Linked DNA regions of Diceros bicornis minor. The protein of the gene in region 1 interacts with the protein of each later gene in a biochemical or structural test. Links are inferred from orthologs where the notes say so. Each region holds a gene or a part of one and is shown in the gene's direction. Other genes may lie near its edges.

Evidence for each region.
Region 2: the proteins of PDZK1 (region 1) and CRHR1 form a complex in vitro, tested with the Homo sapiens proteins (2 studies listed by BioGRID and IntAct, with this or other methods). The link is inferred for Diceros bicornis minor from reciprocal best matches to the Homo sapiens genes PDZK1 and CRHR1.
Region 3: the proteins of PDZK1 (region 1) and ABCC4 form a complex in vitro, tested with the Homo sapiens proteins (2 studies listed by BioGRID and IntAct, with this or other methods). The link is inferred for Diceros bicornis minor from reciprocal best matches to the Homo sapiens genes PDZK1 and ABCC4.
Region 4: the proteins of PDZK1 (region 1) and CYSLTR2 interact in a test that uses a peptide from one of them, tested with the Homo sapiens proteins (2 studies listed by IntAct, with this or other methods). The link is inferred for Diceros bicornis minor from reciprocal best matches to the Homo sapiens genes PDZK1 and CYSLTR2.

Annotation. Positions count from the first base shown.
Region 1 is NC_080743.1:53,251,901-53,259,211, reverse strand, and holds the start of PDZK1 (Na(+)/H(+) exchange regulatory cofactor NHE-RF3), read left to right. Parts: upstream 1-4,288; 5' UTR 4,289-4,837; intron 4,838-7,311. UniProt on the Homo sapiens protein: A scaffold protein that connects plasma membrane proteins and regulatory components, regulating their surface expression in epithelial cells apical domains.
Region 2 is NC_080757.1:44,377,328-44,384,571, forward strand, and holds the start of CRHR1 (corticotropin-releasing factor receptor 1), read left to right. Parts: upstream 1-4,229; 5' UTR 4,230-4,414; coding exon 4,415-4,447; intron 4,448-7,244.
Region 3 is NC_080748.1:72,019,278-72,026,452, reverse strand, and holds the start of ABCC4 (ATP-binding cassette sub-family C member 4), read left to right. Parts: upstream 1-4,169; 5' UTR 4,170-4,528; coding exon 4,529-4,602; intron 4,603-7,175. UniProt on the Homo sapiens protein: ATP-dependent transporter of the ATP-binding cassette (ABC) family that actively extrudes physiological compounds and xenobiotics from cells.
Region 4 is NC_080748.1:28,486,070-28,493,364, reverse strand, and holds the start of CYSLTR2 (cysteinyl leukotriene receptor 2), read left to right. Parts: upstream 1-4,280; 5' UTR 4,281-4,357; intron 4,358-7,295. UniProt on the Homo sapiens protein: Receptor for cysteinyl leukotrienes. The response is mediated via a G-protein that activates a phosphatidylinositol-calcium second messenger system.

The DNA of each region.
Region 1 (7,311 bases):
CCATGTTGTAGTAATTACTATCACTCTACTGTCTTATTACCCACTACAGCTTCCTTATTCCAATTTTTCAGAACTAGCTTGTCAAGTTCCACCAAACAAACAAGCAAATAAACAAACAAACCCTGTGGGAAGTTTGATTGGAAATGCATTAATCTGTAGATCAGTTTAGAGAGAATTAACATCTTTACAGTGTTGAAGATTCAACCCATGAATATGGTATAATCTTCATTTACTTAAGTTTTCTTTAGTTGCTCTCAGTGATGTTTTATAGTTTTCTAAGAATATGCCAAAATATTGATGCCCTCGATCTTTAGGGAGTCTGGGCAGAGCTTGGGGCAGCTGGCCCTAGGCAGGTCACCCTAGCCTTGTAATGCCTCATCTATTTACCCCGGTGAACTATACAACTCTTATCAATTTGTTTTGTGACGTGGAGGGGAAAGTATTGGGAAGCACTGGGAAGTCTTTCTAGTTTTCTGTTTCTGACCAGTTTTACAAAGCGCTGAGTTGTGAGTGGGCAAGCATGCCATCCACAATGCCCCAAACATCCTGAACTCCTGAGTCGCCCACTGTATACTTCTAGCCCGTTTATTTCCATGACTCTGTTGTACAATGTGTGCCCATGAATTATGAGGGCATAACTTGCAAAAACAATAATAACAATGTTATATACTGAGCATTTACCAGGTTCTGGGTGATTTACAAATGTTTTCTTACTTAAGTCTCCAAGAAATCCTATGAGCTTGTTATATTACCTGTGTTTTACAGATGAAAAAACTGGAGCTTTGAAAGGCAAAGTAGCTGCTAAGTGACAGAACTATTTCTGGAAACACGGCAGACTAGATAATCTGAAAACCCTCCCTCTACATAGTTCATAGAAATACTAGGTAAAATATATCAAACATTTTTTTCAAATAGATAGTTGAACTTGAAAGAAAGGAAAGAAATCTCTCAGGTCCAGAAGTGAAGAGAAAGCTGAAAACCGGTAACCAAGCAGGGTCACTTTGGCACAGGAGGTAAGACCCAGGAACTGATACCCTGCATAGAGCTGAGACTCTCTGAAGGCTACATTCTTAGTGAAAGGTGGGCTAAAAACCAGTCCTGCTGGCAAAAGGAGATTCATTTATTCACTCATCCATTCAGTAACATTTTTTGAAAGCTTGCTATAAGCTAGGCTTATATTCCAGGCACTTGGGACACAGCAAGAAAATAAATAGGCATGCCTGTTCCTGGGGAAATTATATTCTGAGAGACAGAGATAATAGAGAGACATAACATAATCCATAAACGTAATATATAAGTAAGATGAAGGGGGATATATTTATGAAAAAACAGAACAGGGAAAAACTGATCATGGGTAACAGGGAAACTATCTATCTTGGCCTGGACTCTGGGAAGAAAAAAACAGATCTCTCCTGGAAATTCCCAACCATAGCTCTGCTTTTAGGGGGAGGGGGGCTGAGGTTGTAACTGACATTAATTGTTTGCAAGATCTGGAAACACCAAGGCAAGCAACTAACACAAATTGGCTCCAAGTTTTTAGTGCCTCTCCTTGTCATTCTAGGGATATGGAGAAGGGCTGTTGGACAAAAACAAGAGAAAATCCTCCACCCAGGCTGCCAAGGGTTCCCATAGACAAAGCCCAGACAAACTTGAGCTCACAATAAAAAAATACAAAACTTATTGATGGCAGATTTAGGATTCAGTAGCTGTTTGATACCAAAGCCCATGCTCATAACTCTTACCTACATGCACCCAGGACTTATACTACACACTCTCATGGGGAAGGTTGTCTTAGGACCCATGGTATTTAGGATCACAGAATCTTAGAATTGGAAGGGATCCAAGAAATTGCCTACTCCAATCTCCCTCACAAAGCAGGACATCTTTCTGTAACATGACACAGAACACCACCAGCCTCTGCTTGAATACCTCTAGGGAAGGAGAGCACATTTTTTCCCTGGCTGGTGGGAAGCCTATCCTAGAGGCAAAACAACACTACCTAAGGAGACAGACAGGGTCCTTAATCCTTCTGAGCCAGGTGATCTTGGGCAGGATAATTACCCCCATGAATTAAGCTTTCTTATCTGTAAAATGGGAATATCATCTCATCGGGTCATGCTGAGGGTTAAATAGAATAATAGATATAAAGGCTTACCAGGCACACAATAAATAATGTCATTTTACCTTCTCACTAGTGTCTAGATCTAAGTAATCAACAAAAAGAGTTACTCTGCTTAGCATTAATCTGAGCAGATCTACTTATAGCCATGAGATTTTTTTAAATCCAAATTTTAGTGAGGGCTCATCTCATTCAGTTCAACATTCTGAAGCGTGGTACCTGAGGGTTACTATCAATATTCAATAAGGGCAGGATTACCTTTCGACCTAGTTCCCAGCACAGACATAGATGAAAAGAAGTTAGTCTTGTCAAGTTGCTGTTTTCTTGCTCAACCTGAGGGGTGACTCAAGGGTCACAAGGATTTATGAGCTTGTTTTACAGAAGAAATAGAATGCCTTCAAGGAAGTTACAGTCACCAGAAAAACAGCCCCCAGCTGCCACTGATGCCCAGAAGTCAGATTGCCCAATGGCTTATCTGGAGTGAAAGAAACCTGGGGTTACCCCTTTGTTTCTCCAAAACTCCTCCTGCCAAGCCCCTTAGCTCTATAAAACCCCCTGCTTTCTTGTCTTGTGAAGGTGAATTTGAGAGAACCTATCCTCTCGCCTTCTCATTTTGGCCAATTCGAATAAACCTTTCTCTATCTCCAAGCACCAGGTGTCTCCGTGATTGGCTTACTATATATCAGGCACATGGATTTGAGATTAAGAGGTTTGGTATCAATTTCACTGGGAAAGGGTTTTGTCATTTTTTAAAAAAAACAATTGCTCATTTCTATTTAATTTTGAATGAACACTGTCTCTGCATGTTAGGGCCTCTTCTATTTCCAGTCTGAAGGCTTGTGGCTGTTTGTTCCATCTGTGCTGGGATAAAGGGTGAGTCTGAGAAGCTTCTTGAATGAAGATTGACTTTGTTGTCATCCAAATTTTTTTATTTTAGAAGTTTCAAGAATAAATTTACTGACAGGCTCCTTAATTTAAAAATTAAGGTATTATTTACATGGAATATAATCCACATATTTTAGGTGATAGCTTGATGAAATTTGGTAATTGTAGTCAATTGCATAGCCATTCCCACACTTAAGATATAGAACAATTCCATCACCTTAAAGTTTCCCCTTTAGACCCCTGATTTGAAGACGGACATTGACCAATTGGCTGGCGTCCAGGGTGAGAAGTTTTGAAGTCATGGCATAGGCAGACCATGTTAAGGAATGAGGGGCATTCATGGAATCCCAGAGAAAAGAAGACTTATGGGGGATATAACAGCCTTCAAATATTTGAAGGGCTGCTCTGTAGAACAGCTCCAGAGGGAACCATTAGGACTTACAGGCAGAGGTGAGAGATATTTTGACTCAATATAAAAAAATTTCTAAAAAACAACTATTTATAGGTGATGAAGGCAAGTGAGACTCAGAGTTAAAAATAAATTACTCTAGATGCAACACCTGGAAGTGGCAGAGTCAGGCATTCTGATCTTGAATCCAGGTTTTCCCATTCTACACTTCTGCTTCAGAAGACATACAGGAGGCCCAAGGGACATAGTGTTAAGGTGGAGATGACCTGATCTGGGTTAGCGGCTCAGATGTTGGTCCCTTTTGACAATTTACCCTCTGGCTCGGGCCATGCCTTTGCTGGGGAGAGCCAAGGCCCAGCGAAGACGAGTGGCCCTTCCAGCGTGGGTGGAGGAAGGTGAGGCCACCCTGTCCTCAGCCTGTGGTCTCTTTGCCTCACTGCCTGGAGCAATCTCTTGCCCTGATTTCCAGTGTGGGCTGAGGATCCAGGTCAGTGAAAAGCCCAAGGCTAGGTCTGCCTGTGTGGGTGCTGCTGATAGGGATCAGCTGCTGCTCCTGTCTGGGATGAGGGGTGGAGCAGGGCACTGCTGAGGCAGCCAGCCGAGGAGCTTGTGGAAATGCATTCCACCTTCCCCGCTGGGCTTGCCTGAGAGGCTCTGAGTGTGTGGAAGGGGAAGACAATTGTCAGTAGGTTGGAGAATAGAAACAGAGCACCCTCAGTGAGATAGAGAGGAAAAAAGAGAGAGACAGAGAAGAGAGAGTGTGTAAGAAGAGGAAGGGAGCCTGGGAAATCATAGCAGGGGCTTTATGCTGAACTCCTAGGAAGCATGCGAGGAAGAATTCCCCGGTGGAGGAAAGGAAGGATGGGCACACGAGGAGCTTTGCTTCATTTACTGGGGCTTATTGGCCTGCTGACCTTCTACAGGGTGGGGGTTGCACAGGTTACTGCTCCCCAGGATGGCCTCAGTACATGAAGATACTTGGGTGATGACCCTCAGCCCTGACCTTGGGATGGGGACAGTGGAGGCTCTTAACGCATTGGGTGTTGGTTGGGTGTGACCAAGGTATTAGCCAAAGTGAAAGAACTGAGGAAGGCAAAGACATCTCCTCCCTGGCTGTCCTTCCCTCTTCTCTCCCCTCCTCTTCTCTGGGAGGAGCAGGCAAGCAGCGACATCCCACACAGTTAAGCAGGTGGGTCAGAGCATTGGGTTTGCTGAGCGTTTTTCAGGTTTGCCCAGCTCAGGGCCCACCCAGCTGGCAGAAAGCAGGACAGAGGTCACTTGAACTCAGACCACAAGTCCCTGTTAAATACATCAGCTTTTAAATCAATCTTTGTTCAAAGTCCACGGAGTTCCAAGACTAGAGCTCACCAGCAGAGAGAAAATTCCCGAGTGACCGGAGCAGCTCCTCTTCCCCCTAGATCCAGGTAAGGAGAGTCTCTGCATCCCCCTGACTGAGGGTGCTGGCCACCTGGGCCTGAACCACCTTCTTTCTTTTCCTTTTTCCTTTTCCAAGCAGTAGCTGGCTGTCCAGGGCCAAAGAGAGGCACATGGGGAAGGAGCCGGGCCTATTGGTGGTGGTGGTGGGGTGAGGGATTGTCTGTACTCTGAGATCCTTTCTGCTTGTGATGCCCCGACCCCTACAGGTTAGGGTCTGCTTTACAAAGGCAATGGTAAACTGAGCCTCGGAAAAAGCTTTCCCAGGGTTGCATGGGGGCTTGATGTGTAGCCAAGGAGAGTGAGATAACAGACTTCACAGGTCACCAGGAAGATACTCACAGGAACTTCCCACTAGGTCAGGGGTCTGGGTATTAGAGATTTTCTTTTGGAAGCAGCCCTTAAGGGATAAAATCTAATTTAACTTTCCCACTGGATAATAAAAGCAGGCATCTCTCCTCTTTTCATCATGTTATAGCACTAAGAAGTGAGGAAAAACCAGTGGATTTCTAGGCTGGCTGAATTTTAAAACATAGATCTCCAGGCTCTACACTTTGGAGTTTCTAATTCTTTGGGTCTTGTGTTGTTCTGAAAATCTTTGTTTTTTTAACATTCCCCCAGATGATTCTGGCAGGCAGGTTTGGGAAGCACTAGTAGCTTACTTCCTATACAGAAGAGTCCAGGGACTTAAATGTGACTTTCATGCTCAGCTCAGGAGACACCAGCTCAGGGCTGGGCTGGCTCCTCAAGAACAGTCCTCTTTAGCTGTCCCTGCAGTGTTGCACCGATGAGCTTGCAGTCTGTATTCAGACGTCATGGGGGCTGATTGTCTCAGGACATGGCTGTCTAGTTCCCTGGTCACATGTTCTTTTCTACAGCAAATAACTCAGGGACTTTGAGTTTGTGTGTTATGACTAAGTAAATTTTTCTTATCTTTGACTCTTTTGTATGTTATTTGAACCATTACCCATGAAGTTGCTAGTAATGATGTCTTATGTTCATGGACCACTGGCTAGACAGCTCCTTCCCATCCAGGGGAGAGGACACAGGACTAGAGTACAAAGAACCTGCATTTTGCTTTAGTTGTTAGTGACAGACCATTAGACAAGTCACTTAGCCAACTGGAGCCTCAATTTCATCATCTATCAAATGAAGGCCTCTCGTCTTTTCCCCAAGGCTGTACTGAAAATAAAATTACAAATATGGTGTGTTTGAGGGGATTAAAAGCACAAACATAAGGTGCTTACACTCAAATGTGTATATCCAAAGGCTTCATGGAAAAGTGGGAAGAAACAGCCTTGCAGTCAGTGGGGAGACCTTGTCCCAGTCTTTTCACCTCATCAAGCTTTTCTTTATTCACTGGTAAATAAAGAGTTGAGACTAGCTGATCACTAATGTCCTTTTCAGCCCACCAAGTATAAGGTGGATCCTGGAGTTTTCAAGGCTGCCTCCTCCTTGTCATTTGGGTATGAATTCAGATGTTACCTCCCCAAGAAGGGCTTCCTAAATCAGCCTCCCCCAACTCCACCACTATATTTCATCATTCATAGCCTTTATCATCAGAAATCATCTTGTTTGCTTTTTATTTGCCCCCTTTGCCAGATGTTTAGCTTTAAGAGAGCAGGGTTATTGTCCTTTGTGGTACCTGCTATAATCCCAGCTCTGAGGACAACACCTGACATAGAGTAGGTGCTTAGATATTTGGATAAATGGAAGTTAGTGTGGCAGGGCAGGAGCTGCAAGAATAGAATCGGGAGGTTTTGAGAAGCTGCTTTTAGGGAGAAGAGGCTGCAGAACTCTGATACTCTCTCAGGTCATCTGAGGTCTGGGTCTGATCATGTGGGAATGGGCATCTCTGGTCATGTCTTGGTTAAATGATTTTCATATCTGTTGCAAAGGAATTTGATGAGAGTAGCAAGTTAGAGCTAGACATGTTTTCTTCCAGATCTCAGTAACTCCTTTCCTTGGCTCTTCATGAGGGACTGCCCAGATTTCCTTAATCTCTTTGCCTGGTGTGTATCATGGCGAAGTGATTGAGGGCATGGGTATTGAAATTGGAAACCTGCCTTCTAGAGCAGGCATATTCTTAATCTCTAAGTCTCTATTTCCTCATTGGTCAAATGAGCATAATAGAACCTCGTTCCTAATGTTATGAGGATTAGATGCGAGACTGCACATAGTGCCTAGCACACCTTAAATATTACTGTTCTGGTGATCATCAGACAGCTTTGTGAGGGGCATAGCCCCAGGGAAGGAAAGAACCCAGGCAGTGACAAGGAGTTTTGATAAGTAGGAAAGATAGCCCCTAGCCTACTCAATGGCAGCTACCGAGGCTTTGCTCTTGGTCTGAGACAGCCTCCAGCTTCTGAGGCTGCAAGCCTCACATGACATGAAGCTCTTCTGCAATCCAAAGGATTGAGCTTAAGGTGCTTCACAGTCTAACCTGACCTTCTTCCTTGAACAT
Region 2 (7,244 bases), on another chromosome or scaffold:
ACCCATTTCCTTCAATACACAATTCCCAACCCACCTTTTCCAGAAGATCTTTCCTCTGACAAAGTGGGTGTGTCAAGGCCAGTTTGCTCTCTTCCCCCAGCTGAGCTACCTACAACCCCACAACCCCCAGCCAAAGTTACGCACACTGCTGGGTAGATCTGGGTGGATGATGATGATGATAATTTACAAAATTTAATAATCAAAACAACTAACACTTTTGAAGCACTTACTATGTGCTAGGCACTGCGGTAAACACTTTACACATATTAACTCGTTTATTGAGTGCCAGCTGGCCATATGCGAGCAAACATCTGCCTCTCTGCCTCCAGACTCCAGCACAATATCACCTCCTTGGGAGAACCTTCCCTGTTGGCCCTGGGCAGAATTGATATTCCTGCTTCCATGCATGGTGCCTGGTCTATTATTGACCTGATTTCACTAGCTTTTAATTATTTATCAAAGTGGCTTGCCCTTCCAGTCTGTGAACATCTTGAGGGCTAGGGCCCTGTTGTAGTAATCTTTATTAGCCATGGCGTCCAAGTGACTGGCACATAATTGCTGCTCATTAAATGTTTGTTGAATGAATGCACAGATGAATGGAGTAATTAACACCATCTCCCCCAATGTTCATGCGATTTTGTAAGCTGCTCCCTCCATGAGGCCATTTTCCTGACCTCATACTTCAGAAGCATTCCAGACCAGTGCTATTCCAAGCTTGATCTGTCTGCAGATTATTTGTTGCCAGTCCATGACAAGGTTAAGTGCAGAAATTGAGGGAAGCATTTAAAAAATTTTAAGCAATTTCACAGAGTAGTTTTATGTCCATTGGATATGATAGTTTTAAAAATTGGGCTTTTATTTTGTATGTCTTTATTTTTTATTTCATTTTTTAATAATTCATTCCCATTTTATTTTGCAATCGTATCAGTCTGCAACAGATAGAAGTTTAAAAATCAAGAACTGGTTCTTCGGCACAAGTAGTCTGAGAAGTATGGTTCCAGACCATCGACTTCACTGGGATGACCAGAGTTAAGCCAATGGCACCCCACAGCCCCACAGGCAGAAGGGCCTTCTCAGCCCTCCCTCCCTGGGTCCCACCATCACTACTTGTTCTCACATCTGTCTTTCCTACTGTTTGGAAGGACCTGGAATTGTCTTTTATTCCTGTTTAGATTCCTCATATTTCTCCTTTCCTCCAAATTTGGTTCCACAAATGACAGCTGACTCTGGTCTAGGCCTGGACAGGAAGAGGAGAGATTTGGGGAAGGTCAGGCTGTGAAGAGAATGCTGGAATGGAGCAGGAGGCTGTCCTGAGGAGGGTGGAGAGGCTGCCTAAAGAGACCACCCTGAGCCTTGGGCTGGTTGGCTGGAGAGCTGGGGCTGAGGGGGAAAGGGCGTGGAAGACCTGGGCACTGGCATCCTCACCAAGCAGAGCAGACGAGAGCCGGGCTTTTGAAGGTGGAAGGGAGCAGTTTCAGGACAAATGAAAGGGGATATGGAATCTTTTTACAAAGAGGGTGTTAAACTTGAGACTCTCATAACCCTCACAAAGCGGTCAAGGCCAAAACTATGAATAAGTATCCCGGAGTGGTACAGAAGCCCCCTCCTGCCAACTCCAGGGGGGGGCGGGTGGAGTGGGGGAGTGCCAGTTAAGTCAGCAAAATCAACACAGACCATCAACACCAGCGGGATGAAATGTGCCGTCTGTAGGTGCCCCTTTAGAAAGAGAAGGTCTGAATCCCAGGCCAAAAAGGCAAGAAGAGCAAGACTTGATTACAGCCTAACCCATGGCATTAGCATATTTCAAGATCATGTCAAGGGGAGGAAGACAGGGCTCAGAAAGGCAAAATATTAAGCAGAGAGAAACACAGAATCTGGAAATCTGGAGCTGTCTGGTCCCTGGAGAGTCAGCTCCAAGGTGGGGCAGGTCTGGGGAGTGAAGTCTCTGCAGGGCCTAGGCAAACCTCCCTGAGGACCCACCAGCTTCCTCTCCTCTGATTCCACAATCCACTGCTGCTGTGGCCTTCTAATCAAGAATTCTGCTTCCCACAGAGAATTGCTTAGAGGAGGGATCACCCTGCCCATACATTTGAGGATCTGGTCCACTTGATGATGATGATGATGATGATGATGATGATGATAGTGATGGTGACTATAGCTAACCTTCATTAAGTCCTTGTTATGTGCCAGGCATCTTTCCAAGTCATTTACAAATGTTAGCTCATTTAAACCTCCCAACAACCCTATGAGGTGGGTATTCCCACCCCCATGTTATAGTTGAGAAAATTGAGGCACTGTCAAATAATTTTCCAGGTTTATATAGCTTGTAAGTGGAAGACTCAAGGCTCAAACTCAGGCTAGGCTGCCTAATTCCAGAACCCGCACTACACTAGACCACTCTGCATTTAGTTTTTGTTGAGAGCAATAAATTGTCCATCTGGTTGGTACATCCGTTTCTTCTAGAATTAGTTGGGGTTAGTCCGTGTACGATTCAGCATGACCAGCTCTAATGGGAGTCTTGCCAGACTGGAGACTGTGTGCTTTATTTAGAAAGAGCCTCCCCGTGTGGCTAAGCCAGTGTGACCAGCTGGCTTCCTGGGCAATGCCCCTCCCCACCTCAGAGCCCCAAACCCCATCAGGGCCCAGCCCTCCAGGCACTTTAAGCTGGGAATCAGGAGACTGAGGACTAGGCTTGCCAGCTATGGGACTTTGGACAGGTCACCATCTCTCTGTGTGCCTCAGTTTCCTCACCAGTAAACTGTGCGTGTTGGATCACAGGACCTCTTACAATAACTCCTTTTCTAAATGAAGAACCAGTTGGAATCGTGAGCGTGCTGACTCTTGCCCAGTGTGCTGAGAAGTGGGTGGAAGGCAGGAGGGGCGTGGGCGCGGCAGAACACAGAATCCAGGGCAGTTGGGTTCAGAGTTTGATCTCAGAGCCGGCTGACTACCACTCTGGGACCGCGCTCCGCCCAGAAGCTCTGGCTTCCTCTGGAGGGGCTGCGGTTGGCGCTGCAGGCCGAGGCTCTGTGAGTGGAGTGATTTTCTCTATCTCCCTTCTCAGCGCTGGCGGGAGGAAGGAAGAGATAGAAGGAAGCCAAAAGTTCTGTCCAACTGGAGGGGCTGGAGGGGAAAGTTTAAGGGGCTGGAAGAGGCGGGAGCTGCTTCCCGGAGCTGAAGGTGGGATGGGAAGCTAGAGGGCCAAACTCGATGAAGACCGGGACGCGGGTGCTGATCCCTACCCTGAGGGCTCGGCCGAGAGGGGGCGCTGTGGCCTCCTCTACACTCTGCCCGCTGGATTCCTAGCTGCTTTCCCCCCGCCGCAGCGCAATGCGCTCCGCTTTCCCCGCCGCAGCGTTCAGACGTCCGCTAGTCCTGCAGGGCACCGCCGTCTCCCCTTCATCTTGGGGTTCCCAGGTTCAGCCCCTTGCTGGGACCAAACTGGGCAGGCGCTTAGTTTGTAGAATGAATGAATGGATGAAAGAACGAATGAATGAAATGAATGAATGAATGAGGTTTCTTCCGCAGAGCTTTCGTGTCCCTGCGCGCACCTGGGGTGTCAGCGCCAAAGGCCTCGCTGAGGCGGGGGCAGTGAGGACCTTCTCCCCGCGGGATGCAGGGCGGGAACTGCCCAAACGCAGTCCTCAGCTCCACCTGGTTTCCGCGGAGGCTCCCCTCAGCCGGGGCTGCTCTATTCCCCAGTCTCCAATAGCCTCGCTCCCATAGATTTGCCAGAGGCCCCCAAGTCCCCTCAGACTCCTTGGACTCCCCAGGCCCGGACTTCAAGCCGGCAGGAGCTGAGAGGCTGCCTCCTCTCCCGCGCGTCTCCCCCCACCCCCCAACCCCATCCCCGGTTTCTCCCTGGGCTGCGGCTGCCGCCACTGCCGCCAGTGCGCCCCGCCGACTGCCGCAAACCGGGGCGCAGGGAAAGGGGGTCAGCGCGGCTAGGGCGCGAGGAGCTGGCCCGGGGAAGGGGAGGGGACGGGGAGGCGGGGTGGCGGAGGCAGCAGAGGGGCGAGGCGCGGAGGAGGGACCGAAGGGGAAGGGAGGGGAGAGGGAGAGAGGGGAGGGGACGCCGAGGCGAGGGGGCGGGGAGCCGAGGCGAAGAGCGGCGCGGACCGAGGGGGAGGCGGCGGGGGCGAGGCGGGCTCCCGGCGGGCGAGAGGCGGCTGCGGGCCGGGCTGAGTCAGGAAACGGCGGCCGGACTTCCTCGGGAAGGGGAGAGCGAGAGCCCGCCGGGCCGGGCCGGGCTGCGGGCCGGGGAGCGCGGAGCCGGGCGCCTCGGCGCAGGGCAGCGACAGAGGAGCCAGGCCGCCCCCCATCCCCGCCCCGCCCGAGCCCGCCCCCGCGGCTGGCCCCTCTGGGATGTCCGAGAGACCCAGGCGTCCAGGACGGTGACCGAGCGAGCCCGAGGATGGGACGGCGCCCGCAGCTCCGGCTCGTCAAGGTAAGAGAAGCGCGGGCGCCCCCAGCCCCGGGCCGGCGCGGGACACGGGTGGGCTGTGGCTGTGATGGGGGGTCAGTGGGAAGAGCTGCGCACAGGTCGGGGGCGGCCGGGGTTTGAGGGGCAGCCCAACTCCCTCTCCCTGGACCTTTGGAGCTGGTGCTGGGTGGGTGGGGAGAGAACTCAGGTGAAAAAAGAAATCGTTGTGGCGAAGCGGCCGGGATGTTGGCGGAGGAGGGGGTCCGCCCACCCGGGTAACCAGCTCTGTGCCGAGAATCGCTTTAGGCTTTGGGAGTCGACGCTTGGTTCTCCCTGCCACCCCTCCCATGCAGACCCGGCCAGGAGGCCCTGGAGATGGGTTCCTCACCCGCCCCAGCACCCTCTCATCAGCTCCCCCACTCCACACGCCCCCGCCCTGCTCCTGGGAGCTCCTTCCTATCCCTTCTCCTCCGCTGAAAGCTTCAAATCCGTGGAGATAAATGTCCCCCGCGCCTCGGAACTCTGGATCAATATCGCAGTCTCCGGGGAGGAGAGTGCATCGGCGGCGGTTGCGGTTCCTCCGCCGAGGCCGGCCGGCGGGAGCGCAGCGCTCCCCTCCCAGCCTTTGCACTCGCGGGTCCCCGCGCTGCGCCGGCGGCTCCTGCCCCGGGTCTGGCGACGCGATCCCGGCGCCTGGAGTTTAGGAAAGTCGCCAGACCGCACGTGCAGCGTCTGCGGCTGAAGTTCGGGGGCGTCGGGGGGCTGTCCGCGGGCGGCGTGCGCCAGGGAAGGGCTGGGGATCGACAGCAGGCCCGCCGCTAGTGATAGCCGCCAGCCACTTCCCAGTGCCGAGCGCTTCCCCGGTTGCTGGGTGTAGGCACGTAAGCAGCAGCCGGAGGGAGAGGTGCGGGGGCCTGGGCGCCGCCGCCGGGGAGCCCCGCGCGGCTCACGCCGGAGGATCCGGACTCCGCAGGGTCGGTGTGGACGGCCTGAGTTACAAACACAGACACCAGCTTGACTGGGTTCAGTGCATTTAAAAGCGGTTTCGTCCAAAAGGATTGAATGGATTTGGGGGAGGGGTGCGGATTGACTGAATTTCATTTTTCCATCAGTCATTAAACGTGTACCAGCTCACAAAGTGGTTTGAGTTAAACCATCAAGATTTTAAAATGCAACCGCTGCCAGTTCATCAGTAGAGACGTTCCTAGTTACTGGGTTTTTCTCCATCCTCTCCCTCCCGCTCCCAAATATTTATAAGCTGTTTTTAAAAGTGACTGAGGGCTGGTCTGATTGAACCATACCCCCTCTCCCACCCCTTAACTGAGGCCTGGGGGCGAGCTGGGAGATTATTTTCTGAGTGATCAAGGAGATCCGGGAGGGAGGGAGGAAGAAAAACATCCAGAGAGGTTGAGTAGATGGCATTGAATGGGAATATTTTCCAAAATGCTTGTGTGTACAGAACCTAAATCTAAATACACAAATCAGTTCGACCGAATTCATTCTTTTAAATGGATTCAAAGGATTTAACTGTAGGTTTTTGGTGATTTTTTTGAGTTTACGTGGTAATAGGTAAATGTTCTTTCCCTGGCCTTTCTTAGAATCATGTGCAAATCTCTGCTTAGAATTATCACGTTTTCCTAAAAGAAAAGAAACTGTTTTTACTGTTGTTGTGTGTGTGTTTCCTACTAGATAGTGAGGCGTGTGCCCTTCATGTCTGGCCTAATGAACTCAGTAGGTGTTCAACAAAAACCGAATGAATGAGAGGCAGTGAGTGAATGGGCAGTGAATACTGATTTCAGTTAAATAATTACTTTTTATTTTATTTATGTAGCATGTACAACTTGCTGGGCATTGTTCTACCTTCTTTGCAAATATTAAGTCATTTAGTCCTCATAACAGCCCTGGGAAGTAGGAATTATTACTGAGGCACAGAGAGGCTAAGTAACTTGTTTAAGATCACACAGCCAGTGAGTGGTGGAGCCAGAATTCAAACCCAGGCACTGTGGCTCTAGGGCTTTGTTTTGGTAGCTTTTACCAGAAAATATTCTAAGCCACTTAAATCTCATCCTAGACCTCTGCCAGACAAGAGCTCAGGTAGTTTTTTCAGTATGAAAGTATGAATCTAGGAGAGTTAATCCAAAATCCAGCTCTCTCCCCACCAAGTCAGCCAGGGTTGGGAAAGGGGGCCCTATTGTGGGCCTCGCACTGTGCTGATTATGATCTGGAGGAGAGTGTGTGGGGGAGAGTGTGTGAGTGTGTGTGTGCACGAGTGAGAGAAATGCGTGTGAGTGTGCATGAGAAAGTGGTTGTGTGTGTGAATGAGGGAGAGTTGATGTGTGTGAGTGTGTGAGTGAGAGAAATGTGTATGAGTATGCATGAGAGAGTGGCTGTGTGTGTGAATGAGGGAGAGATGATGTGTGTGAGAGAAATGTGTGTGAGAGAAATGTGTATGAGTGTGCATGACAGTGGTTGTGTGTGTGAATGAGGGAGAGATGATGTGTGTGAGAGAAATGTGTGTGTGTGAGTGAGAGAAATGTGTATGAGTGTGCATGAGAGAGTGGTTGTGTGTGAATGAGGGAGAAATGTGTGTGTGTGAGTGAGAGAAATGTGTATGAGTGTGCATGAGAAGGTGGTTGTGTGCGTGAATGAGGGAGCGAGATGTGTGTGTGAGTGTTGGTGGATGTGAAGGAGGAGACAGGTGGAATACTGTCTCTACCCCCAGGGGAGGAGGGATGGAGTGCCTCTGGGCACCTCCCCACCAATCGCAGCCCCTGGCAGGGAGAGCAGAGTGTAGGCGGGGGGTTCCTGGGAGCGTGAGGGG
Region 3 (7,175 bases), on another chromosome or scaffold:
GCATTCGGCTTGCCTTGCATATGGCCTCAAAGTGCTTCCATAGCTAGAAAAAGACCCTTAAGTAGAGTTGCAGATAAACAGTAAGCTGCCTTAGTTCTGGAGAGGTGCCCAGGGGGTATGAGCTGAAAAGTAATAGCTTCTGCCACAGCAGGTCACACAATTTAAGCTTTAGCTTCTAATCCTTTAGCTTCAGGAACCCCAGAGACTCGATGCCACCAAGACTCTCCTTTACTCTCATTGTGTTCACTTACATATCCCTAGCTCCTGGAACAGTTCTTGGCACACAGTCTGTGTTTAGAAAATAGTTGTTGACTGTAAGTTAATCGACTGTATGACTTTCCTTTGGGTACCTGCTTTACTATTTCAGGCCTTTCCATCACAATGGGAGACATGGCTACCACCAGTTATGGGTCATATCTTTAGAACTCCCTGATCAGAAAGGAAAATGAGGCTTTCTCTTTCTAGCTCCAGCCAAAAAATTCTCAAAAAAAGAAAGCCAGGGCCGGCCCAGTGGCGCAGTGGTTAAGTTCACGCATTGTGCTTCGGAGGCCTGGGGTTCGCTGGTTCAGACCTGCTCACTGCTCATTAAGCCATGCTGAGGTGGTGTCCCATATAGAAGGGCTACAACTCTACAACTATGATACACAACTATGTACTGGGGCTTTGGGGAGAAAAAGGAAAAAAGAGGAAGATTGGCAACAGATGTGAGTGCAGGGCCAATTTTCCTCAAAAAAACAAAAAGAAAGAAAGCCAGTTGGCTTGGCTTGGGCCATGAGCTTATCTCTGGGCCAGTCCCTTTGGAGACGGCCATGGTATCTTACGATTGGCTAGATTTGTGTCATGTGCCCACCCCTGAGATTATGGCGGTGGAGACTATTACTAGAAGGTGGAGTGACAGAACAGTTGTCACCATATTTGGAGCTACGGATACCCAATGGAGTATGTTTAAATTGTGAATGCCATTTGTCCCATATGTCTTGGTAGAAAAATGCTTGAGGACCAGCATTGTCTTAGCTGGACCATTTTAGTACTGCATTAGCTCTTATACCTACTGCAGATTTAACACTTAACGCTTTGACTATTTGAGAGGGATCCTGTAGATCATTTAGTAATTTATACTTTGCAAGGCACAATTTTTTTTCTTGTGCCCCGAGGTTTGTTTGGGAATGAATCATGAAGTACAACAAGATTGAATCTCTCCCTAGGTATTCTCTGCTTATCCCTACTAGAGTCAATGACTGGCTTCATGCACTCAGCATAATATTTTCAGTGTTCATCCATGTTGTAGCATGCATCAGTATTTTATTCCTTCTTATAAAATGCCAAATAATATTCCATCGTATGTAATGCCCCATTTTATTTATCTATTCATCAGCTGATGGACACTTGGTCCCCCCATCCCCCAACTTGGGCTTTTATGAATAGTGCTGCGATGACATCTGTATGTAAATTTTCACGTGGACCTATGTTTCCATTTATCTTGGGTAAACAGCTAGGAGTGGAATTGCTGAGTCAGATGGTAACTTGATGTTTAACATTTCTAGGAACTGCCACACTATTTTCCATAGCCGCTGTATCATTTTCCATTCCCTCCAGCAATGTATGAGGGTTCCAATTTCTCCACATCCTCTCTAATACTTATTACTGTCTTTTTAGTTATAGTATTGAACCACTTAAGATCAGTAAACAAGTGCAGATAGAGGTCTTATGACATCTTTCCCATTTTTGCCAGCTCCATGCCTGGCCTAGCGATCAAGTACCTAGACAGCATTCGCTAAACATTTGTTGAATGAATGAAAAAAACCACCCTTTTATTTGTACATTGCCTTAGGTTTTACAAAGTGCTTTCCCAAGTTGTGAGGCTCACACTAACCCTGTAGGAAGTAGGAAGAGTGGGAATTCTGATTCCCATTTTAGACCTGAGGACAATAAAGGTCAGACAGATTTGGTAATAAGTGAAAAGTCTAGATCACTGGTCCCCTGGTTCCAAATCCAGTCTTTTCTCTACAATTCAACACTGGTTCTCAATATCTCTTCTAAATATCCTATTAGTTAATGTCAGAAAAAAATGTTAAGAAGTTTCAAAAGATCGTAGTTAAAAAAAACCCAGCAGAAGCTGAAGGAACTAGTGTTTCTGGCAGTTCGGAGACTGCTAATTATGGTTCTGAGAACTGTGGGGATTAGAGAGAGTGGTCTGGGGCAGTCTGACAAGAGAAGGCACTAGACTTCTAACTTGAGCGAGCAAATTCTTCATCTTTGAAGCAGAACTGATAGCTGAGCATTTACAGGGCTGGAAAATTTAAGGAGTTTCAAAGAGAACTGTAAATAAGGTGAGGGCTGACTATTTAGGTTGTAGATTACAATATCTGAGAAAGAGCTAGTACAGAAAAGTAAGTAATTGAACAATCAGTTTTCTTAGAATGTTCAGCTCTAATTGTCTTTCCTTTTTGTAACAAATTCTCAAACATCATGAAATAGCAAGAAAATAGTATAGTAAACCCCCATCACCCATCAGTTGAAAATTATTATCAATATTTTGCCATTATTATATGCTTGACTTTTAAAAAGTGTTTGAATACAGGAAGGCTTTCTTTAAAAGCCACTTCCTGGGGCCGGCCTGGTGGCACAAGCGGTTAAGTGCTTGTGCTCCGCTGGGGGGGCCCGGGGTTCGCCAGTTTGGATCCCGGGCACGCACCGACGCACTGCTTGGCAAGCCATGCTGTGGCGGCGTCCCATATAAAGTGGAGGAAGATGGGCACGGATGTTAGCCCAGAGCCAGTCTTCCTCAGCAAAAAAAATAAAAAATAAAAAATAAAAGAGGATTGGCGGATGTTAGCACAGGGCTGATCTCCTCACACACATACACAAAAATGCCATTTCCCCCCAGCTTTACTGAGGTATAATTAACAATCAAAAATTGTATATATTTAAGGCATACAACCTGATGACTCGACATACATGTACATCGTGAAATATTCACCACAACCAAGACAATCAACATAACCACCACTTCACACCTTAACCATTTTCCTTTTCCTTTTTTGTGTGAACACCTAAAATCTACTCTCTTAGCAAATTTCAAGAACACATACAATATTGTCAACTACAGTCACATTACTGTACACCAGTTCTCCAGAACTTATTCATCTTGCATAACTGAAACTAAAAGCCATTATTAATAACATCATTTCAGCCAAGATACATGGGAAATTATCAGAGAATAGTAAAGTGATCTTGTAATAAGCCCCACGAACTTGTAACCTTTGATCTTTCTTCATTTAGGGTTGAAGAGAAGAGAACCTCCTGAGCTGGTAAGATGGCCTCACAACTAACTGAAGACTTAGTGGGAGTCCAAGATTTTGTTCATTCAGTCCTACAATCATGCGTTCGTTCATTCAACCAGCGTATTCTAGACACTTTTTAGGCTCACTGACCACCCCCCAGTGAGACAGACCACGCTGGATTCCGACTTGAGTCCAAATCGGGTTTCATCATTTACTGACTCTTAAGACCTTGGACAAGTTCTGTCCTTGAGCCTCATCTTTCTAATCTGTAAAATAGGGATAAGGATACCTTCTTGACTCGGGCATTGTTAGAGTTCAAAGTGAGGTAAGGTCCCCAGGAATGTGCATAACGGGTGTTCTGTAATGTACGTTCCGTGTGCCACTGTTATTCTGCTAGGCTCTGAGGGCAGGATGAAGGAAGTAATAAGGCAGTCTCTTTCTCCCTATATCCCCTTTTCCCAGTCTAAGAGGGCAGCAAAAAGCTCGCAGAGGTCCCCCGTATAACGCAACATGTGAGACGCCAAAAGCCTGCCCCTAATGACGTGCATTCATCTTCCAAAATCATTGAGTTCTTCTAATCTTCTGTTACCTTTCTTTAGGTCTTGCAGCTCTACAAAGATAATCTGTGCTAAATCCTGCTGTTGTCTTAGGTCAAATGTTTGGCCCGCAGGTTGGAGAGCCTTCCACAGCTCTCTTTTTGGTCCTGATGAGGGCAGCGAGCCTAGAAGGCGGGCTGCTAAATCCCGGTCTTCTGAAAGCCGCAGCCAAAGGGGCGTTTCTGAGCAGCAGGGCGGGCAGAGCCGGCGCCTCCCCTCTCCACCTTCTGGGTGGGTGCCTTGGCTCTGAGTACGAACTTGGGCAAGTCTGCAGCCAGGTGCGAGCACGTGGGCGCCTCCGCGCCGGGCCCAGCGTGCCGCGTGGTCAGTCTACCCACCTCCATCCAACCTCGCCCGTCCCCTCGCCTCGCACGCGCGCGGCTCCCGGCAGCGCCGCCCCCGCCGCCCCGCACGCGGCGCGCAGCTCCCGCTCCCGCTCCCGGTCCCGGCTGCCGGCTCCCCGCGGCGCGGCCCAGGAGGCGGGGACGGGGCGGGCCGCGGGCTCTTTGCTCCCGGAAGCGGGTGGTTCTCAGGCTCCCGCCGAGCGGATCGAGCTCCAGCATCGTCGCCCGCACCTCCAGGAGCAGCGAGAGCGGCGCGGCCGCCCGCACAGCGCCACCCCGGCCCGCGCCCGCCTCTGCCGGCAAGATGCTGTCTGTGTACCCGGAGGCGAAGCCCAACCCGCTGAGGGACGCGAACATCTGCTCGCGCGTGTTCTTCTGGTGAGCACCCCGGCTCGGGCTGCGACACCCCGCCGCCGCCGGCCCGTGCCTGTGCCTGGCGTTGCTGGCGCCTTTTGGCGGTGGAGGGCCGAGGGTCTGGGCCAGGGAGGGCTTTTCGCCGCCGCCCGCACCGCCGGGGCTTCCTGCCGCCGGTGGGGCCACCCCACGCCGGCCGCGTGGTCCCCGCCTGCGCCCCGGCGCGCGGGGTGGGCGGGAGTAGGGCCAGGGAGGGGGACCCGGGAACCTGGTGGCGTGGGCTCAGGGTCTCCCTTCCTTGCCACTCGCTCCGCCAGCCTCCAGTGCCCGGGAGGTGGGGAGCCAGAAAACCTAGGCTGCCTGGGGGAAATCACTGCCCAGCGGGAGGACCGACTGGCCCTCCCACACCCCGCCCTTGGCCGGCTGCCCCTGCACCGCGCAGGGATTCGCAGTTCTCCTGAACTAAAGCTGCACCCTTTTTTTTTCTTAACCAAGCAGCTTATGAACAGCTTGCTTTATCTAATGTCAACCAAAGGCTACTTACTGCACTGCCCTGGACTATTGCCATCTCCCAAAAGTGTCCCCACCTCTTCCGAAATTCCTTACGTGACAGCTGCGTTTCAACTCCACCGGCCTTTCTCTGTGTTCTATGACCGTGTCTGCCTGCATCTGTCTTTCTCTGTCTCCCTCCTGTGTATGCCTCTCACTGTGTGTCCTGGTACCTAGTTGTGGCAAATTTCATGTGGGTAAAAAAACACTTTATTTTCTAGTTAGTGAATGGGGACACTGTTCTTGAATAAGTTTTGCTTTTGCCTGGGACACACACAGCCACGACTGCGGTATGTCTTCGACCAGCCCCTTTCCCTGTTGATAAATAATATTTGCACTTCCACCTTTGAGGATCACTCTGGGGATGGTGTCCCTGAAGCCTGTGGGGTCTTATCGGGATCTCTAGCCTTTGGAGAAGCGATCCATGGTCTTGATGCAGGTGCTCCTGCCCGGGAGTCCTATGGTCCTAAAACCACTGAAGGGTCCCTGAGCTGGGAAGAAGGACAGAGGTGAAAATCCGCTCAGAGAGATGAGGCTCTTAATTAAAAGTTTTCCATCTAGTATCTGAGACTACTAACTAGGTGGGCGTGAACCTTTGGGCTTTAATCACACTCGGTTGGTTATTAGGTTGGTTATTAGGTCTTTCGTTTCTCGACCCTAACCGTTTCATCTTTCCCACGTATTCTGATCATTCCCCCCCCCCCTTTTTTTTTTAACTTGAGGTCATATTGGCTTATAACACTGTGTAAATTTCGGGTGATCATTCCTTTGTTTTATGGGAGAGCCTAGGGGATCCCAAGGGGAAGAGTGCTCCCATGCTTGATTGTGGTGTATTCAGTAGGTGTAGGGACATCTCTTGGCTGTATGGTGGCCCTTCTCTTAAGGAAAGAGGGCGCAGAAGAAGGAATATGGATGTGTCTACTGTACATAATAACGAAGTAGGCAAATGTCTCCTTTGTTGGAGGCAGGGCTTGGAACTCTGGAAGCACTTTCTGTTTGTGGATTTTCAAAATGTCTGTGCGTGGAAATGGGGAGGTGAGGACTTCCCATTGCTCATTTTGGTAGGCACTTATTTCCGGTTTCCCTGCTGGAGGGAAAGGAGCGCTTAGCTCGGTTTCCCACGTGAAGGCACTTAAGGGAAGAGAGGTTAAGTTGCCTGGGATCACACAGCTAGTAGGTAGTAGAGCGGATCCCAAACAAGGCAGTCTGGCTCTGGAGCCTGAGTTCCTGTGTTCGCATCCCCTCTGCTGAGCTGCTCCTGTAGGGGTACTTGTTCTTAAATGCGTGGAGAAGGCTATTCCACACACACCTTTGTTCTTGTAGGTGGGAGTTTCTTCAAGTTCCTGCCATTGGAGACAGTGCACGTGAAACATTTATTACCATGCTTTAGGGCAGCTGTTCTCAAAGTGTGGTGCTCACACCTGCAGCATCCGCATCACCTGGGAGCCTGTTAGAAATGCAAAGTCTCGGCCACCCTTTCCAGCCCAATTCTGTAAAACTAGAAACTGGGCGGTGGGGGGCGGTGGTTCAACAAGAGCTTCAGGTGATTCTGACAGAAGGTTGAGGCTCACTCAATGCTTTGTCACCCCTCCCATTGGCATTGTTATTCCAGTATTATACTTTTAAGTAAGGGGCAAGACTTTGCGAAGTCAGTTGTTGACCAGAATGACCATCCTGTAGTTAGTTACCTTCTGCAGTCCGACGAATTTTAAAGTCTGAGGCACCTTAGTGATTTCCTTGTGTACCCTTCTGGCTGTAGGCTGGCAAGCTGAAAAGAGCCCAGTCAGGGAGTGCCACCGGGAGACAAGGCCCATCTTGTAGAGAAAAACCGTTTTCATCTTCTCATTGGGTATTTGCTTTTCTTCTCAAATTTCATGTGCTTTCCAAACTTGTGACCTGGTAGCTCCCTACCCAAATGATGCTGATAGCTAGCTTACTGACCTTATACAAATACTTTACTGAGGATTTGGTGTTTTCTTTTTTTTTAAAGATTTTATTTATTTATTTTTCCCCCAAAGCCCCAGTAGATAGTTGTATGTCATAGCTGC
Region 4 (7,295 bases), on another chromosome or scaffold:
TATGATTTGTGTAGCTCTATGTCCTAGCGGTGGCCAAAGGTGGCAATTTGCAGGGTGAGGAAATGGACATGAAGGCTGGAGTGTCCACAGGCCTAAGCGTGGGAAGAGAACAAGGGCAGCTGCAGCATTAACAGCTCTTCTGAGGTGGCCATGTTCCAGCTAGAACCCCAGGGAGTCTGAGAAGTCTGCACAGATAGCATAGGAATCCAATAATTTACAAACAAATATACAATATTAGAAGAAGGAGTGATGGTGATGAGCACTATAAAGCAAAATAAAGCAGGGTAAGGGGATAGAGTGTGTGTGGGGGAGCTCTTCTTGAAAGGGAGGCTGGGGAAGTCATCTCTGAGGTGGCGGCATTTAAGCAGAGGCCCCAGTGAAGTGAGGGAGTGAGGGTTCAGGGCCATTCCAGCACATGTGCCTGGAGGAGCAGCAGGGAAGTCCTCACGGCTAGTGATGAAGTTGTAGAGATGCGTAGCAGGGGCTGAGCAGGTCTGGCCTTTGTAGACCGTGATAAGGATTTTTCTTTTGAGAAAGTTGGGAAGTCATTGCAGAGTTGCGAGCAGGGGACAGACATGATATGATTTACTCCTTAAAAACTTGATTGTAGGGGCTGGCCCGGGGCATGGTGGTTAAGTTTGCACGCTCCACTTTGGTGGCCCGGGGCTCGTAGGTTTGGATCCCGGGGGCAGACCCACGCATGGCTCATCAAGCCATGCTGTGGTGGCAACCCACATACAAAATAGAGGAAGATGGGCACAGAGGTTAGCTCAGAGCTAGTCTCCCTCAGCAAAAAGAGGAGGATTGGCAACAGATGTTAGCTCAGGGTTGATCTTCCTCACAAAAAACAAACTTGACCGTAGAACAGCAAGAGTGGAGACAGGAAGACGATTAGGTAGGATGTTCCTACAGCATTCTTTTTTTTTTTTTTAGACTTCTTCCAATTTATTTTTTTAATTATTTGTTTTTTAAAACTGTGGTAAAATATACATAAGACAAACTACAATTTTAATGGTTTTTAAGGGCACTGTTCAGTGGCGTTAAGTACCTTCACATTGTAGTGCAGCCATCACCACTATCCATTTTCAGAACTTTTTTCATCTTCCCAGACTGAACCTCTGCACCTATTAAACAATAACTCCTCATTTACCTCTCCTTTCTGCCCCGGCAACCACCCTTCTACTTTCTGTCTCTATGAATTTGACTACTTTAGATATCTCGTATAAGTGGAATCATACAGTATTTGTCTTTTTATGACCAGTTTATTTCACTTAGCATAATGTCCTCAAGATTCAGCCATGTTGTAGCATATGTCAGAGTTTCCTTCCTTTTAAAGGATGAATAATATTATATTGTATGTTTATATCACATTTTGCTTATCCATTCATCCATCAATGAACACTTGAGTTGCTTCCACATTTTGGCTATTGTGAATAATACTACTATGAACATGGGTATAAAAATATCTCTTCAAGACCCTGCTTTCAGTTCTCTGGGATATATACTCAGAAGTGGAATTGCTGGATCATATGACAACTCTATTTTTTTAAATTTTTTTTATTTATTTATTTTTTGTGTGAGGAAGACTGGCTCTGAGCCAACATCCATTGCCAATAGTCCTCTTTTTGCTGAGGAAGATTAGCTCTGAGCTAATATCTGTGCCCATCTCCCTCCGTTTTTGTATATGGGATGCTGCCACAGCATTGCTTGATGAGTGATGCATAGGTCCACACCTGGGATCCCAACCTGCAAGCCCTGGGCCACTGAAGCAGAGCACGCAAACTTAACCACCACGCCACCAGGCCAGCCCCAGGACAACTCTGTTATTAATTTTCGAAAAACCACCATACTATTTTCCATAATGGCTGCACCATTTTACATTCTGATCAGCTGTACACAAAGGTCCAATTTCTCCACATCTTTGCCAACTCTTGTTTTTTGTTTTTGTTTTTGTAATAGCCATTTTAATGGGTATGAAGTGATATCTCACTGTGGTTTTGATTTGTATTTCTCTAATAATTTTTGATGTTGAGCATCTTTTCATGTGCTTATTAGCCATTTGTGTATCTTTTTTGGAGAAAAATCTGTTCAAATCCTATGCCCATTTTTTAATTGGGTTGTTTGTTTTTGTCGTTGTTGAGTTGTAGGAGTTCTATATATATTCTGGATGTTAATCCCTTATCAGCTATGTGATTTGCAAATATTTTCTTCCATTCTGTGGATTGCCCTTTTCCTCTGTTGATAGTGTCCTTGAATACACAAAAGTTTTTAATTTTGATGAAGTCCAGTTTGTCTATTTTTGTTTTAAAGCCTGTGCCTTTGGTGTCATATTTAAGAAATCATTGACAAATCCATGAAGCCTTTCCTCTGTTTTCTTCTAAAAGTTTTATAGTTTTAGCTCTTATATTTAGGTCTTTGATCTATTTTGAGATAATTTTTGTATATGATGTTAGGTAAGGGTCCAACTTTATTCCTTTGCATGTGGATATCCAGTTTTCCCAGCACCATTTGTTGAAAAGACTGTCCTCTCTCATAAATGACCTTGGCACCCTTGTCAAAAATCATTTGGCCATATATGTGAGGGCTTATTTCTGGACTTTCTATTCTATACCATTAGGCTATCTATCTGTCTTTATGCCAAGACTACACTTTTTTGATTACTGTAGTTTTGTAGTAATTTTTGAAATCAGGAAGTCTCAGTCCTCCAACTTTGTTCTTCTTTTTCAAGATTGATTTGGCTATTTGGGGGTCTCTTTACATCCCACATGAATTTTAGGATAGATTTTTCTAGTCCTGAAGAAAACATCATTGGGATTTTGAGAAGAATTGTGTTGAATCTATAGATCCATTTGGGTAGTTTCGACATCTTAACAATATTAAGTCTTCCAATTCATGAACATGGGCTATCTTTCCATTTTTTTACGTCTTTTTAAATTTCTTTCAGCCATGTTTTATTCTCAGTGTACAAGTCTTTCAATTCCTTAGTTAATTAATTCCTAAGTATTTTATTCTTTTTGATGCTATTGTAAATGGAATTGTTTTCTTAATTTCCTTTTTTGATTGATCATTCTTAGTGTATAGAAATACAACCGATTTTTGTGTGTTGATTTTGTATCTTGTCACTTTGCCAAATTTGTTTATTAGTTCTAACAGGTTTTTTTTTGTGTGTGTAATCTTTAGAATTTTCTACATAAAAGATTATATCATCTGTGAACAGACATAATTTTACTTCTTTCTTTCCAATTTGGATGACTTTTATTTCTTGCCTGATGTTACTACATCATTCTATCTAAGAAATGATGGGGATTTTAATGGGGATAAGGAAGGTGAGAAATGATTGGATTTTGGACATATTTTGTAGGTAGAACAAATGGAATTGTTGGCTTGGATGTTGGTTGTGGGAGAAATAGAGAAGTTAAAGATGACTTCTAGGTTTATGGACAGATTAACTGGTTGAATCATTGTGGTGCCATTTGATGAGATGGAATAAATGGGGGAGTGTATGCTTGGGAGAGGAAGAGAAAAGCTCTGTTTTGGCTATATTAAATATGGTCGTGGATGTGGATAATGTAGATAAAAGCAAGAGAATACGGTGGGAACTGCTCAAAAAACAAACTTTTGGGGCAAGCTCACATGTAGAAAAGGGGTGGAAGAAGAGGTATCAGAAAGGGAGGTAGAAAAAGAACCAGGAGACTCAGAGAAACAGGGAGAAAGTTTCAAGAAAGTGGCATTGGTTAACCGTGCAACAAGTTGAGGAAAGAAGATGAGGACTGAGAAAGGACCTTTTACTTGAGCAATGAGGAGGTTGTTGGGAATCTTCGACAGAGCATTTTCACTAGATTGGGTAAGGGTCCCCCTGAGTACCAAGTCCCTGGAAAAGGCTAGTGGGTAACGGGAAGTGCTCTAAACAGCTCTAAAGTGTTGTCCGTGTAAAGCGGTGTTGATGTGACTGTTGTCATGGAAACAGAAACCATTTAGGAGAACTAAAAGCCGCTTAAAACCCCTGACTCTAGCTCATCACAGCCCCTTGATCTGTTGTGAAAGACGGTAATAAAAACAGTCATTAGAGCGGCAGGGCTAATGCAGGTTTCTTCCTCTCAGATGTAGCCCCTAACTGGAAATCTTCCCCCCTTCTTGAGAAGGAAGCCAGCACCAACACCCACACCAAGTTCTATAAAGCACAGCTGACCTGCTGACCAAAGTTCCTTACTCTCTTGCTATTGGCTGACGCTGTTCATAATATATAATTTGCTGTTTCACTTTTCTTTTAAAGAAACAAGCTGAATTACTTGCAGGAGGAGGACAGGAGAGGGAGAGGAGACAGAAGCCAAGGCAGCTGAAAGAAAGAAAACTTCAGGTGAGCATTTTTATCTTTGCTTTGTGAATTCATTGATGAATAAGCCTTTGCTTATTCCTTCATAGTCAGAAGAACAGTTTTTGAAAAGCAGATTTATTTTGTTCTACTATAAATTTTTTTCTACTAAATACACAATAGCTTAAAAAATCTTGGGAAAATACAAAAAAGTAGAAGGAAGCAAAAACCTTCACTGAGCTAGCCTCTATTGATATTTTAGGGGTATTTCTTTCCATTCTTTTTTGTGTGTCTGCATACGATTTTAGTTTGATTTTCATAGTTGTCTTCATACTGTATGGATAATTTATTTTTTCCGTTAAAGCATAAATTTTTTCCACGTTGCTGTAAATTCTTTATAATCATAACTTAAAATTGCTGCATGATATTGCATTGAGGAGATTTACTATCCTTTAGCCAAGCATTCTCCAATTTTGGGCCATATAGCATCTTTCCTATTTTTCATAGACTGGGTCATTTGATTGTGTAACTTATATTTTTTCCATTCAGGGTCTTGTTCTTTGGGGAGAGGAGGTTGAATTTGAGAATGCAGATTTCAGTGGTTTTACTCAGAGGCACAATGAGAGGGAAAGAGTGTGTGCTTGTAATCTGCTTATTACCCCTTTGGGACCTCAATTGGCGGTACTCAACTCTGGCTATAGATTCACTTAGAATCAACTGATTCTGAGGAGATTAGAAAATTACCCCTAGAATAATTGAAACTTAACTTTTGGTGATGAGTCAGTCATCTGTAGTTTTTTTTTTTTTTTTAATTTCAAAAATCTACCAGGTGGTTCAAATGGGTGGCCAGTATAATAACGTCTAATCTAGGTTATTTGAAATATTTTCTGTCTCTGACACATACCTGAGAGTAATACATCTTAAGGGAAGGGAGGTACACTTTCAGGCAAGCCACTCAAGTCTACCTTTCAATGCTATATAAATAATGCAAGAGTAATTTGTGGGAAATGTAAGACTTCTAGAAATTTCTATCATTCATCTCAACCACATAAACTCTTGAGATGAGAATCTACTTGAGAGTTTCAATTTACTAATATTTTAAAGAGATGGATTCATTTTCTGGTGGTTAGAAGTTAGAGAGGTTGAGGGTCCAGAATGTTCTAAATGTATCAAAATTAAGCCTAGCATCTGTTAGTAGCCTGCCAAGGTAGCCAGACTTCCTTTCATTTGCAAACTCTTCAAGGATCAAACACAAGGTGAGCATTTAATAGCTGCTATTAAATGTTATTAATAGGTATGAATTTTAATAATATTAAAAGGCAGAGCAAAGACTGATGGGATTGGATTTGGAGGCAGCAAGTGGATTATCCTGGCTATCCAGGAGCGTAGACATGGCACTTACTTTTCTGGACCCCATGTCCCGAGAAGGAGAGTGGACAGAGTTTATACCAGAGCTATGCTCTGGTTTTTCCAATTAGGAATTGAGAATAGACCAAAGGCAGCTAAACCAAGTCAAAGCCTCTGCTGCTGCATAGCCTACAGCAGGGATGTACTTCTTTTAAATCAACCTAACTTGATCAAGAGGATGTTAACGAAATTTCTCCTTATTTTGACTCAGTGGTGGAGAATATCTGTTTAGCACCTTCCTTGATGAACCTAACTGTTCACATAGTACTTCACTATTTACAAAACTCGTTTACATACAGTAGTTCATTTGACCCACATAATGGCCCTGCATGCTGGAGGGTGTAATTCTTATTTTACAGCTGGCAAAGGTGAGGCCCAGGGAACATAGGATCTTTCCTAAAGTGGAACCAGAATTGGCCCTGGTTGAGCCCAGGGCACATGTCCCCTTCCTTACAACTTGGATGATAATTATTGTAAAAAATTTATTGAAACAAATTTTGTTATGTCTATGTAACTGAATACTCTTTTAGCCATTTAAATGACGTTGATGTTGGGGCCCGCCTGGTGGCACAGCGGTTAAGTGCACACACGCTCCGCTTCGGTGGCCTGAGGGTTCGTAGGTCTGGATCCCCGGGCTGCACCAACGCACCGCTTGTCAAGCCATGCTGTGGCAGTGTCCCATATAAAGTAGAGGAAGATGGGCACGAATGTTAGCCCAGGGTCGATGTTCCTTAGCAAAAAAGAGAGGGATTGGCATCGGATGTTAGCACAGGGCTGATCTTCCTCACAAAAATAAATAAATAAATAAATGACAATGATGTTTATTAATTGGCACAGAAAGGTGATCATGATACAGTGATAAGAAAAAAGCAAGGTACAAAACAGCATTATTATAGACACTCATTTTTGTTTAAAAATATTTGAAGAAACATGAAAGGAAGCAAATGCACAAAAATTCAGATATGTCTGGTTGGTGGTAAATCTTGTAATTTAAGTTTATTTCAGCTTATATTACCTTGTTATTTTTTACCATAAACATTCACTACTGGTGTAGTAAAAATGTAAAGTAAATTAAATAGAATTGTTCTTGTCTTTCTGGTTGGCTCTTTTCAGATGAAATTGTCCCAACTCCTTTTACTTGGCCACACAGAATCCTCCCATTTAATTCCCCATGAGTTTTGTTCATTGTTGTCTCAAATCTTATTGTTATCGTTAGCTAGCATCAACTGAAAACTTACCAAGTGTCAGGGCACCAAGTTAATCACTTCCCATCCATTTTCTTCATCAATACTCACTCTAGTCCTCCCTATGCAGATAAGTGTTTTGAAGCTCAGAAAGGTGAAGTAATAAGAGTGACCAAGAGGCAGAGCTGAGACTTAAACTTGGGTCTGTTCTAACTCAAAAGCACATGTTCTCATTCATTATACCATCCTGCCTCCCTATCCATCTGGGATCATGCGGCGTACCCTCATCATCTAAGCAACACTCATTTTGGAAGAAAGACGATATATCTTTGCAACATACTCATTGCTATGTGTCAGGATCACCTTGAGTATTTTTAGTATCTCGTGTGTAT